2 linked regions of the Arabidopsis thaliana genome follow. The protein of the gene in region 2 purifies or fractionates together with the protein of the main gene of each other region. This does not show direct contact. Each region holds a gene or a part of one and is shown on either strand. Other genes may lie near its edges.

The links. Proteins that work in one complex are often made in the same cells at the same time.
Region 1: the proteins of AT2G36580 (region 2) and CSY1 fractionate together in Arabidopsis thaliana (co-fractionation; one large-scale study listed by BioGRID). This does not show direct contact.

The regions. Positions count from the first base shown.
Region 1 is NC_003074.8:21,720,266-21,725,367, reverse strand, and holds CSY1 (citrate synthase 1), read left to right. Parts: upstream 1-1,577; 5' UTR 1,578-1,641; coding exon 1,642-1,878; intron 1,879-2,000; coding exon 2,001-2,181; intron 2,182-2,343; coding exon 2,344-2,429; intron 2,430-2,503; coding exon 2,504-2,608; intron 2,609-2,682; coding exon 2,683-2,745; intron 2,746-2,819; coding exon 2,820-2,929; intron 2,930-3,015; coding exon 3,016-3,135; intron 3,136-3,219; coding exon 3,220-3,369; intron 3,370-3,444; coding exon 3,445-3,565; intron 3,566-3,665; coding exon 3,666-3,763; intron 3,764-3,876; coding exon 3,877-3,988; intron 3,989-4,242; coding exon 4,243-4,302; 3' UTR 4,303-4,595; downstream 4,596-5,102. Other genes in the region: CSY2 (citrate synthase 2), read left to right, coding at 42-162, 273-370, 466-589, 664-804.
Region 2 is NC_003071.7:15,337,391-15,343,609, reverse strand, and holds AT2G36580 (Pyruvate kinase family protein), read right to left. Parts: upstream 4,489-6,219; 5' UTR 4,358-4,488; coding exon 4,289-4,357; intron 4,109-4,288; coding exon 4,012-4,108; intron 3,929-4,011; coding exon 3,831-3,928; intron 3,737-3,830; coding exon 3,581-3,736; intron 3,483-3,580; coding exon 3,405-3,482; intron 3,295-3,404; coding exon 3,163-3,294; intron 3,046-3,162; coding exon 2,965-3,045; intron 2,837-2,964; coding exon 2,765-2,836; intron 2,662-2,764; coding exon 2,572-2,661; intron 2,429-2,571; coding exon 2,284-2,428; intron 2,161-2,283; coding exon 2,072-2,160; intron 1,954-2,071; coding exon 1,858-1,953; intron 1,762-1,857; coding exon 1,694-1,761; intron 1,606-1,693; coding exon 1,506-1,605; intron 1,179-1,505; coding exon 1,119-1,178; intron 982-1,118; coding exon 829-981; 3' UTR 524-828; downstream 1-523. Other genes in the region: ProT3 (proline transporter 3), read left to right, coding at 1-47, 111-488; AT2G36570 (Leucine-rich repeat protein kinase family protein), read right to left, coding at 5,885-6,219.

The DNA.
Region 1 (5,102 bases), on a different chromosome or scaffold from region 2:
AGTCATGCCGGTAATGTTATATCCCTTTTCTATGTTCTCAGAAAGAGGAAGATGTCAGGTTTTGGACATCGTGTTTACAAAAACTATGACCCCCGAGCAAAAGTTATAAAAAAACTGGCAGATGAAGTGTTCTCCATTGTTGGTAGGGATCCTCTCATCGAGGTACTGTAGATCCTTGTGCTCACGTATCTCTCCTAGTATTTGGTTGTCAAAAAAATTCTTATATAACATGACTGTGGGTTAAATTTTGTTTTGACGGATGATGTTTTCAGGTAGCAGTTGCTCTAGAGAAGGCGGCACTGTCTGATGAATATTTTGTTAAGAGAAAGCTGTACCCAAATGTTGATTTCTACTCTGGATTAATCTATAGGTAAGACATTGCTGATTCATCTGACATAGACCCTGTAACCATTAAGTTCTTTACCTGAACCTTGTGTTGGTAATTGAAATGGGGGAAAAACACAGGGCAATGGGATTCCCACCAGAATTCTTCACAGTCCTGTTCGCAGTCCCGCGTATGGCTGGATACTTGTCACACTGGCGTGAGTCGTTAGATGATCCTGACACTAGGATCATGAGACCCCAACAGGTAAAATACATAACTTGTTTGATAGATCAAAAGGTTTATAGTTTGAGCTAACTGAATTGTGTGGCTGCATATAGGCCTATACTGGAGTGTGGATGAGGCATTACGAGCCAGTGAGAGAACGAACGTTATCAAGTGATTCGGATAAGGATAAGTTTGGTCAAGTTTCCATTTCGAATGCATCAAGAAGGCGTTTAGCTGGATCATCTGCCCTTTAGTCTCAATCCTAATACTCACCAATAAAGAAGAAAACATTGGGATACCTCTGGGAAAACAAGAGAGTCTTCTCAACAACATGTGTTGTTTTCTTTCTCTTATTCTTAAACACTTAATAATACAACCCTATTCTTATTGTTTGTCTGTTATTTTAAAATGTTATGATTTAATAATAATAATCTTGTTATAGGGAACGACATGTACTTTTGATAAATTGCGCTTTTATTCCTGTTAATGTTAATTTCTGAAGACATGTCTAACACATTGGTTTGGAAAATGTCAACCACCAAATCATATCATTTAGGATTAACTGAATGTTATTTTTAGGGTGAATATGTTATGCAGATTCCAAGTGATAACAATAAGCTAACCACTCATTGAACATCATATCATATTTTTTTGTACGGTATTTATAATTTGCCTGAAAGTTTCCTATCATTTTGCATTATTGCCAATAATATTTCCATTTCAAATGAGAACAATTGTGAGAAGTGTGAACAAATATAAAAGAAAAGTGACGTTAAATAACAAACCCTGGAGTACCTGACACTGATTAACAGAAAGAAGTAAGAAGCAACCAAAACAATACATAACTGTCGCAGAGACACATACTTAAAATTGGTTAAAAGCCACAAAACTCTGATTGAAGACAAAGAAGACACTGTAGATTCACGCCAATCATACCCACAAAAGTATTAAGACAAAAGTGTTACGTAATGAAATTATCAAATTTCCCCACTATAAAACCATGCATGCCTATATATCACTTTGAACTACAACAGCCACTTGGTTTCTTATTCGCTTCCCTTTCTTGAATTGTGATCTTTTTGAGGTGACAAATGGAGATTTCGGAGAGAGCTAGAGCTCGATTAGCCGTTCTCAATGCGCACTTGACAGTATCTGAGCCGAATCAGGTGTTGCCAGCGATCGAACCATGGTGCACATCGGCTCACATAACCGCTGCACCGCATGGATCGCTTAAAGGAAATTTGAAGATCGTCGATGAGCGTACGGGGAATGAATATCAGGTCCCAGTCTCAGAGCATGGTACCGTTAAAACCGTTGATCTCAAGAAGGTATATATAATGAGTTTTTATGCTGAAGTTATTTCTTCATTGTGGCCATTAGTACTACGAATAGATTGTTTTTTGTATATTGTGTGAGTGTGTATAAATGGATTTTCATGTTTGGTGTGAAGATAACGACAGGGAAGGATGACAAGGGGCTTAACTTATACGATCCTGGTTACTTAAACACGGCTCCTGTTCGATCTTCGATTTCTTACATCGATGGAGATGAGGGAATCCTACGTTATCGGGGATACCCAGTTGAGGAGTTGGCTGAGAAAAGTACTTATACAGAGGTTACTTATCTCCTAAGTAAGTCTTGATCATCTTGTATAGCTCATTGTTGTTGCTTAATTATGATCATCTTGATCATCTTGTATAGCTCATAGTCTTGCTTTTGTGTGGGTATTTCTTTAAAATTTTGTCTCCCTTAGTGCTCTAGTTTACTACTGCTTTTTTTGTTTTTGCATGCAGTTTATGGGAATCTGCCTTCTCAAAGACAGCTAGCTGATTGGGAGTTTGCGATTTCTCAGAATTCAGCTGTGCCACAAGGAGTATTGGTGAGTTTCTTCTACTCTTTCCTAACTTTCTCTAGATCTTCGAGGTGAGATGATTTATCTGAATGTTTTCACAGGATATGATACAGTCCATGCCTAATGATGTACATCCAGTAGGAGCTCTTGTCACTGCAATGAGTGCACTTTCCATCTTTTATCCTGATGCAAATCCGTCTCTTATGGTAAGTTACGTTTTTATAATCCTGCTTTCTTCTGAAAATTTCCACGCCGACATGGAAATCCCCATTTGGTGCAGGGCCTAGGTGTTTACAAGTCAAAACAAGTTCGTGATAAACAGATTGTTCGTGTTCTTGGACAGGTATTGTTCTGTCTGTGTGATTTGGTGCCTCAATGTATAACCGGACTATGAATTATAATATAACGTGTCTGCAGGCCCCAACAATTGCAGCAGCTGCTTATTTGAGGAAGGCAGGCAAGCCTCCTGTTCAACCTTTGAGCAACCTTTCTTATTCAGAGAATTTCCTCTATATGGTGGAATCAATGTACGTTATTGTCCCTCTTTGTTTGATTTGGAGATGGTAGCCATAAAACTGTGCACTTGTTTAGTCTCATCTTCCATTGATTACAGGGGAGATAGGTCTTACAAGCCTAATCCTCGTTTGGCTCGAGTGCTGGACATCCTCTTCATACTGCAAGCTGAACATGAAATGAACTGCTCTACTGCTGCTGCTAGGCACCTTTCCTCTAGGTACTACTTATCATTGGTTAGAGATTCATTTGAGTCTGCTATGAGATACTTTTTAATCAGCACATAAATCCTCTGTTTATGTAGTGGTGGTGATGTGTATACTGCTGTTTCGGGAGGTGTTGGAGCCATTTATGGTCCCCTTCATGGTGGTGCAGTTGAGGCTACGATTAACATGTTATCAGAGATTGGGACTGTTGAAAATATTCCAGAGTTCATTGAAAGCGTGAAGAATAAGTAACTCAATTCTTAGAGAGTATACCTAGAATGTGATGGTCAATATTCCATTAATGTTAACTCTTTTTATTCCAGGAAGAGGAGGTTGTCGGGTTTTGGACACCGCATTTACAAAAACTACGATCCCAGAGGAAAAGTCGTTAAGAAACTGGCGGATGAAGTGTTCTCCATTCTTGGAAGGGATCCTCTGGTTGAGGTACTCTGTATTCTTGTTGCTCACGTTTCCTTGTTGAATCCTTCATATGTATGATGAATTTGGTTTAAGAAAATATTTGGTGTATAAATAATGTTTTCAGGTAGGAGATGCTCTAGAGAAGGCGGCACTTTCTGATGAATATTTTGTTAAGAGAAAGCTGTACCCAAATGTTGATTTCTACTCTGGATTAATCAATAGGTAAGACATTGATTAGTTATCTAACAAATTCTGACTAATGAGTTGTTGTAACCATTGAGTTCTTTCTTTATTTGAATCTTTTTTGTTGGTAACTGAAATGGGCCAAAACACAGGGCAATGGGAATCCCATCATCATTCACCGCAGTATCACGTATCGCTGGATACTTGTCACACTGGCGTGAGTCTTTAGATGATCCTGACACAAAGATCATGAGACCCCAACAGGTAAAATACACCTTTAATATATAAGTGACTTTGTTTAGATAACATTGGCTCATGGCTAATAAAGACACTTTTTGATAGATCAATGAGTAATTAAGTTTTCTTTTTTGCTCATGAGATTATACATTATGCATAGATACATACACTCTTGGATATATTAATGACTTGAACCTTCTTCTTTTTTTGGCTCATGAGTAATACAATTTTTAATGGATATATGCAGTTTTTGAATAGATCAAAAGTTTTTTTTGGCACAGGTCTATACTGGAGCGGGGATAAGGCATTACGAGACAGTGAGAGAAAGAACCAAGCTGTGATTCGGATTTGGATCAGTTGGGTCAAGTTTCCATTTCGAATGCATCAAGAAGGCGTTAGCTGGGTCAAGTCTCGTTCCTATACTACTAATATGAAATTTGACTCGGAAAGCCAAGCGAATATACAAATATATATAAAGAATATATATGCTTATATAAAATATAGTTTGGGTAAACCCCATCCGACCTCGAGTTAGTAATACATGTGTGTGTGTCTATGTATGTATAAGTTGTCAAAATAAAATAAAAATATTTGTGTATTATAGCATGTTTTTAAGAATATGATGTTGAACAATAATCATAAAGTGATAAAAACAGTTCAAATCTAAATTAAATATAACCGAAACAGTAAGAAGATAGTAGACAACAAATCAAGATGAGATTGGTAATTGAACATATATGCAGCAATAATGACGAAAACCAAAAGGGTCTTCTCAACAATGTGTGTTGTTTTCTTTCTCCTTATAGTTAAAACACTCAATAATCTACATACTATTGAATTTGTTTTTCATTTGTTTGTCTGTTATTTTAAAATTTATGATTTAAAACATATCTTAAGTATAGTGGTTCTATAATCAATTCCATCTAATAATTAAGTTGGTATAGGAAATTAAGACATAACTTTTGATAGATATTGTGCCTTTTGTGAGGAAAGTTCTAAAAGAAGATCTTCTTATTCTTCTTTAGTTAATATAACACATTGCTTTAGTTCTAAGATTTTTTATATATCACACATTGATTCGGAATAATTAGTTAACCACCAAATCATATCCTTTTAAAAAAATGTCATACAATATAGTGTT
Region 2 (6,219 bases):
CCCTTGCTAACATCTCCGCTATCCTTCAATCCGTTATCTCGTTGCACGTAAGTTTCTCTTCGAGAAAAGAATTATGTGTTAGTCAATCCGTTCTTACTCAATTTTTGTAGATTTTTGCAAGTCCAACATATGAGTACATGGACACCAAGTTTGGGATCAAAGGAAACCCATTGGCATTAAAGAACTTGTTGTTTAGGATCATGGCAAGAGGCGGGTACATAGCAGTTAGTACGCTTCTCTCAGCACTCTTGCCGTTCCTTGGGGACTTCATGAGCCTCACTGGTGCAGTGAGCACATTCCCCCTTACATTCATTCTAGCCAACCACATGTACTATAAGGCTAAGAACAATAAGCTCAATACTTTGCAAAAGCTATGCCATTGGCTCAACGTTGTCTTCTTCAGTTTGATGTCTGTTGCTGCCGCCATTGCAGCTCTTAGGCTCATCGCCCTTGACTCCAAAAACTTCCACGTTTTTGCAGATTTGTAATTCATAATATATACTCATCGTATTTATTCTTAGTTGGATTTCTTATCAATAAAATTAATTTTCAATAAAACAATGTATATAGAACTATGGTTACTAGGGGATGGAGATATTATGCATAAAGTGGAAAGTGGTTTATATCATAACTTGGAAACATCAATCTCCTAAATACGAAAACAAAAGCCCAGGAGATATATTTTCACTCCGGTATCTAGCATATAGCCGGCGAGAAACAATGATTGCAAGGATTTTTCTTGGACGGCACCAAGAGTTTTAGTGAAGGAAATAAAATTGATTAGTAACAGAACAAAAAAGACCGAGACAACGACTCACTCTGCTTCTTCTAATCCTCTAGCTCGATGATTTTGACCACGGACGCATCTCCCACTTTCTGACAGACCACAACTCTGTCATGTGACTTGATCACTCCGGCTTGCTTCCCATGGTCTAGAGCCACTTTAAGAACCGACTCATTTGTTGCACTTGTTGATTCCGCCTGAACAAGAGGATTCACAATACATTAGAGAAAATACGGTTTCAAACCCCACTAAAGTTACAATTGCAACTATAGCACTAAATTTGCAAGCAAGAATCTTTTTGCAATGAATCAAATTCTATGCAATAGAGACTTACAGGGTGACGAGGATCAGCAAGCATGGGGAAAAGACCTCTGACAATAAGTGACTGCCTTGCCTGAGACAACAATAGGCACAAACACGATGTTAAGTTTGAGCAATAATCAAAAGAAAGTCCATATATGCAATTCAGATATGACAAAAGCTTTTCTAGTCATACATAGAAATCTATAAGAGGTGACATTATTCCAAAGGGTAACTTTCTTTTTTATCTTCAATTATAAAGCACATTTAAGAGTTGTTATTCCTTTGCATCATGGGGACAATTGCCAAATAGTATATGCAGTCATAAGCAAGTAACAACCATAATCATTGAATCTTGACAAGTGGCATTAGAAAATCCCAATTCTTTTTCAAAATTCACACAATCAGGATGAAAGTTTACCTCAAAGGCTCCGCTAAAGCTCCACTTCAGCTGATTTGTCGTAAGTCGGGGAATGACAACAGAGAGAACGGGCATAGTTGGACGGTATTTGGCAATCAACCTTTCACGATATGGATAAAACATTTATTAGACAGCTACATTAGAATTTAAATGTACGAACAGTTTAAGTTGGAAGGAATGGTGTGAACCTTGCTGCTCTGCCAGACGAGGTGAAGCATATAATTACGGATGCCTTAACCTTGATTGCTGCCCGTACCTGATATCAAGCAGAATTTAAGCCATTAAGTTAGAAAACTTGAAAGGCAACTTGTCAGCTTTTAAGTTACATAGGTAACACAAAAGAGAGGCTCACAGCAGAAGAAGCAATAGATTCCAAGTGAGTCATTGGTTCTCCAACATACTTGACAGTCTTCTTAAAGAACAAATCTTGGTTGAAAACTTTCTCTGCCTATAAACAAGTAATCAATGCATAAGAGAAATCAGATGACAAACCATGGCTAAGATGATTGAGATACTAAGAAGGTGATGGAAATAATAATACTTTAGAACAGTACGATAAAGCCTACCTCACAACAGATTCTACCAACAGTTGATATGGTTTCAACAGGGTACAATCCACGAAGAGTCTCAGCACCAAGAAGAATTGCATCACTTCCTGCAGGAAGCGAAAGGAAAGAAACCCTCTTAAAGTTATGACCAAAACTATGATCCACAAATATGTATTCCCTCCTATAAATTATAAGCAGTACAAAATACATATTTCAGAAACTAAGTATACCATCTAAAACAGCATTAGCAACATCAGTTGCCTCTGCACGAGTTGGCCGCAGATTGTCTGTCATACTGTCTACAACACGAGTAAGAACGGCAGGCTTTCCAGCCATGTTACACTTGTAAAGAGCAGCCTTTTGGAACAAAAACACCTACAAGTTTTTCGGTCAACTTAGTACTTCGTTCCAGAAAATCACTAATCGTCTAATAAGACACACAGTCACACACCAATCTACATAGAAAGTGCGTAGGGGTTTGGACCCAAACGTATTGATTTGACTGACCAACATCATACCTTTTCCGGAGGTAGATCGATACCCAAATTCCCACGAGAAAGAATAATGCCATCTGCTTCTTGTAGAATTTCGTCAAAGTGGGTTAGTCCCTAAAATCAAATACACATCGGTAAATATAAACAGCAGTACAGCACCATCACAGAAAAGTTGCAGAGGAAACATGTAAAGGCAAAATAAATGCATTTCACTTACCTCTTCATTCTCAATCTTCGCAAATATTTGTGTTTGAGAGAGGTCACCACAACTGTTAAGCAACTCACGGGCCTGTGTTGTGGCACAAAAATGATAATTCAAGCGTATCAGAAGCTCAGAATTAGTAGTGAGTAAAGAACCCAAACGAAGTAGCCATACTTCTAAGGTGGAAAAAATATATTATGAAAAAGAATATGGACCTGGCGAACATCTTCTGCATGTCGACAATAAGATAATGAGAGAAAGTCGATCTTATTCTGAACTCCCCATGTACTTATAACCTAGAAGAGAACCAAAACAGAACAAAATAGTTAAAGCACTCGAACAGATAAGCTAGAATATTACTAGAGACAGAGCAAAGCAGTCACTGAGATATGTAAATTATAAGCAACACTTACCTCCTTATCCTTCTCAGTTAGGGTTGGCATATCAATGTGAACTTGAGAGACGTGCAATGTGAATAACGGACCACCCAGAGTAGCAGCATTCCTTGAAATACAAATGACATCATCTCCTTTAACTTCTTCAACCTGAAGGTTTGTTTAAATGGTTAGTCTTCTCACAAAAAAAACATCTAAAGTCTAAATTTGAATTCCAGAGAACAGTGTAGAGTGGTTCCATAAGCAAAATTCTTTTATACCTCAAGCCAAACTGAAGTTGTTTCACTACCAGTGAAGAGGTATTGTCCAACAAAGATAGTGTCTCCTTTCTTAACCGCCTGAATACATCAAACAATAACATCCATCAAACCCTATAGACACGAAGCAATAATCATCTTCTCCCAAAAAATAAACGGTAAGGGTTATATATAGAAACCTTCGCTAACCCATCAAAATTAATGGGAAGGACTTCAGAGGAGGCTTCTTGATCTTGACTCGGAGTCAAAGTTACAAGGCCATCAGCTTTAAGAGAAATAGCTTTCTCAGTCTTGTTAATAACTTGCAACTCAGGTCCTACAGTGTCTAGCATAACCTGGAAAAGCCATAAACCACAATCTTAATTCATGGTATTAAGCATTACCAAATAAGATCCAGCAGAGCAAAACCAAAGAAAAGAGAAAACATACAGCACAAAGCTTCTTAGTGCTCTTCACAGCTATCTTCAGATTCTCCAGCGTCTCCTGGTGATAATCAGCATCGCACCAAGAGAAATCGAATCGAGCCACTGCAAAAAGAACGACACATCAGTAACCAGTAAAGAGAACCCCAGGCGAATCACGTATCAAATAGTGAAGTAATCGCAATTACCGGACATTCCAGCTTTGAGACAACCAGCAATCACCTCGACGGATCGAGATTTCGGACCTAGAGTCCCAACAATCTTAGTCAAAGCCGGGAAGAAACTCTGCGAAATAACATCAAGCGGATCAAAAACCACGACAAACGAAACAAATCTCTCACTGCTTCAAAATGGATGAAATATCGCAACAGATCCAAACGTAATCGATAATCAACAACGAGCTAAGGAAATCAAAACAACCACAGAAAACACACAGAGCGAGAGAAGGAGAAATAAATAGCTCACTGATTTAGAAGGTTCGAGGATTGAAGTCATCCTGATCGGTTCCTCGAGAAGGAGATGACTTGAATGCATAGTTGCTGATCAGAATTCGGAGATCTCAGGCTTTATTCGACGGTGACGGGAGAAAGACGGAGAAGAATTTTGGAGTGGAGAAGAGGCGGAGAAAAGTTCGCGTGATTGGGTATTTGATACGCTTGACCGGCGAATATGCCTCCAAATACGACGCAGTTTAAATAGCACACAATAAAATGAAAATGTTGAAAAACAAGCCTCAACTTTTGTTTCGCTCTATTTACCCCCCAGATGTCCAATACCTAATGCAAACTATCCCCCGTTGGTTTATAATACGCTGATCTTTTAAAGTTTTTTTTGTCGGTTTAAATGATTTTGTTAATTTTTAGAATAGTTCACTAATAAATGTATAAAATGAATTCAAAGAAAATTAACAGAAATCAAAGAAGATTAAAATTAATGTATCCATGTAAAAGTCAATACAAGAGCGAAAAATACCATAAATTTAGTAACATATTATAATAAACCATTTATTATTTTCAAAAATGTACATCTTAATCTATGGATTTAATTTGATTTTGGATGGATACTGAATGAAGTATCATTAAAACAACAGGGATTAAAGTATCAAAAAACTAAAAGTAGAAGGACTGGATATAAATTAAGTAATTTTAATGAACATCTAGAAAGGGATCTACAAATGTCAATGAGCACAACGACGGTCCCAGATCGTACACGTGGCAGAAAAGGGTGTGATTAAGGCACATGAAAAGCGACGTTGCTGGTTTAGACTTTTAGTACTCCCCAAGTTTAATTTCGTGGGGGAAGGGGTCAAATTGGCCTCACGCGCCGAGGAATAGTGAATGAATGATTTTTCAACAAGTTTTATTTCAGTTACGCACTATTCGATACCATTAAACTTGCTCTTGTTGACCTCAACCCAAAAAAAAAACTTGCCATCATGGCTTAATGAAATTATGAAAGCGTAATTTCACTTTTAAGTTCAACATTTCAAGTCTTCAACTATCAGAAACCCATAACATAAAATATTACTATCAATTAAAAAAATTGTTAGACAAGATTCCGCTTCCAGAAATGAAAAAGGAATCCATTTATTTGTCATGATTTGGCTAATCATGTGCTTGACCATTCGTTAATTTACTTAATCTGCCAATCATAATCAATGGGCTTAAAAGGTACACGAAAGGTCAAATCCGAAGGGCTGACTCTTCAACCAAAAAGACAATTACCAGTGGACACAGAAGCATCCACCGTTCTAGAAGCACTAATCAATGGGCGTTCGAGTTTTAGGTTCTATAATTAAATAGCAGCAATTGCAAAATAATTCATCTAAAACATATGGGCCTAATGGGCTTTAAAGAGTAACAAATGGGGTTTTATTATTGAAACGGCTTCATAAATCCACAAAACCACACAACCCCGTTACGATCACAAACAGTGAAAACACAAAACATGGCTAAAAAAACTCCGACAAGTTCGCAAATCAGGGATTCTAAGCAAGAACCTTAAAAATCGACAAGGTCCAAACGATACGTATTCTACAACATCGACAGACAGAAACCAAACTTAGCCGTCGGTGGTAGCCAACGACGGAGACATTGAGTTTCGTGACTCATCAAAATCCTCACCGACCGGAGATTGCTCAACTCTAATCTCCTCAACCATCTTAACAACTTCCGCCATCGTCGGCCTCTTCTCCGGCTGAGGCACAACGCAAGCTAAACCGATATGAAGCATTGCCACCATCTCCTCCTCTATGTTCTTATACCTCAAAAGCTCCGGATCAAAAACCTCTGCCGTCCATTCCTCCTTCACCACCGATCTAACCCACTTCGGTAAATCAACCACCGCTTCTTCCTCTTCCTCCACAGCCACCGACGCCGCTGATCTAGGTCTAGACG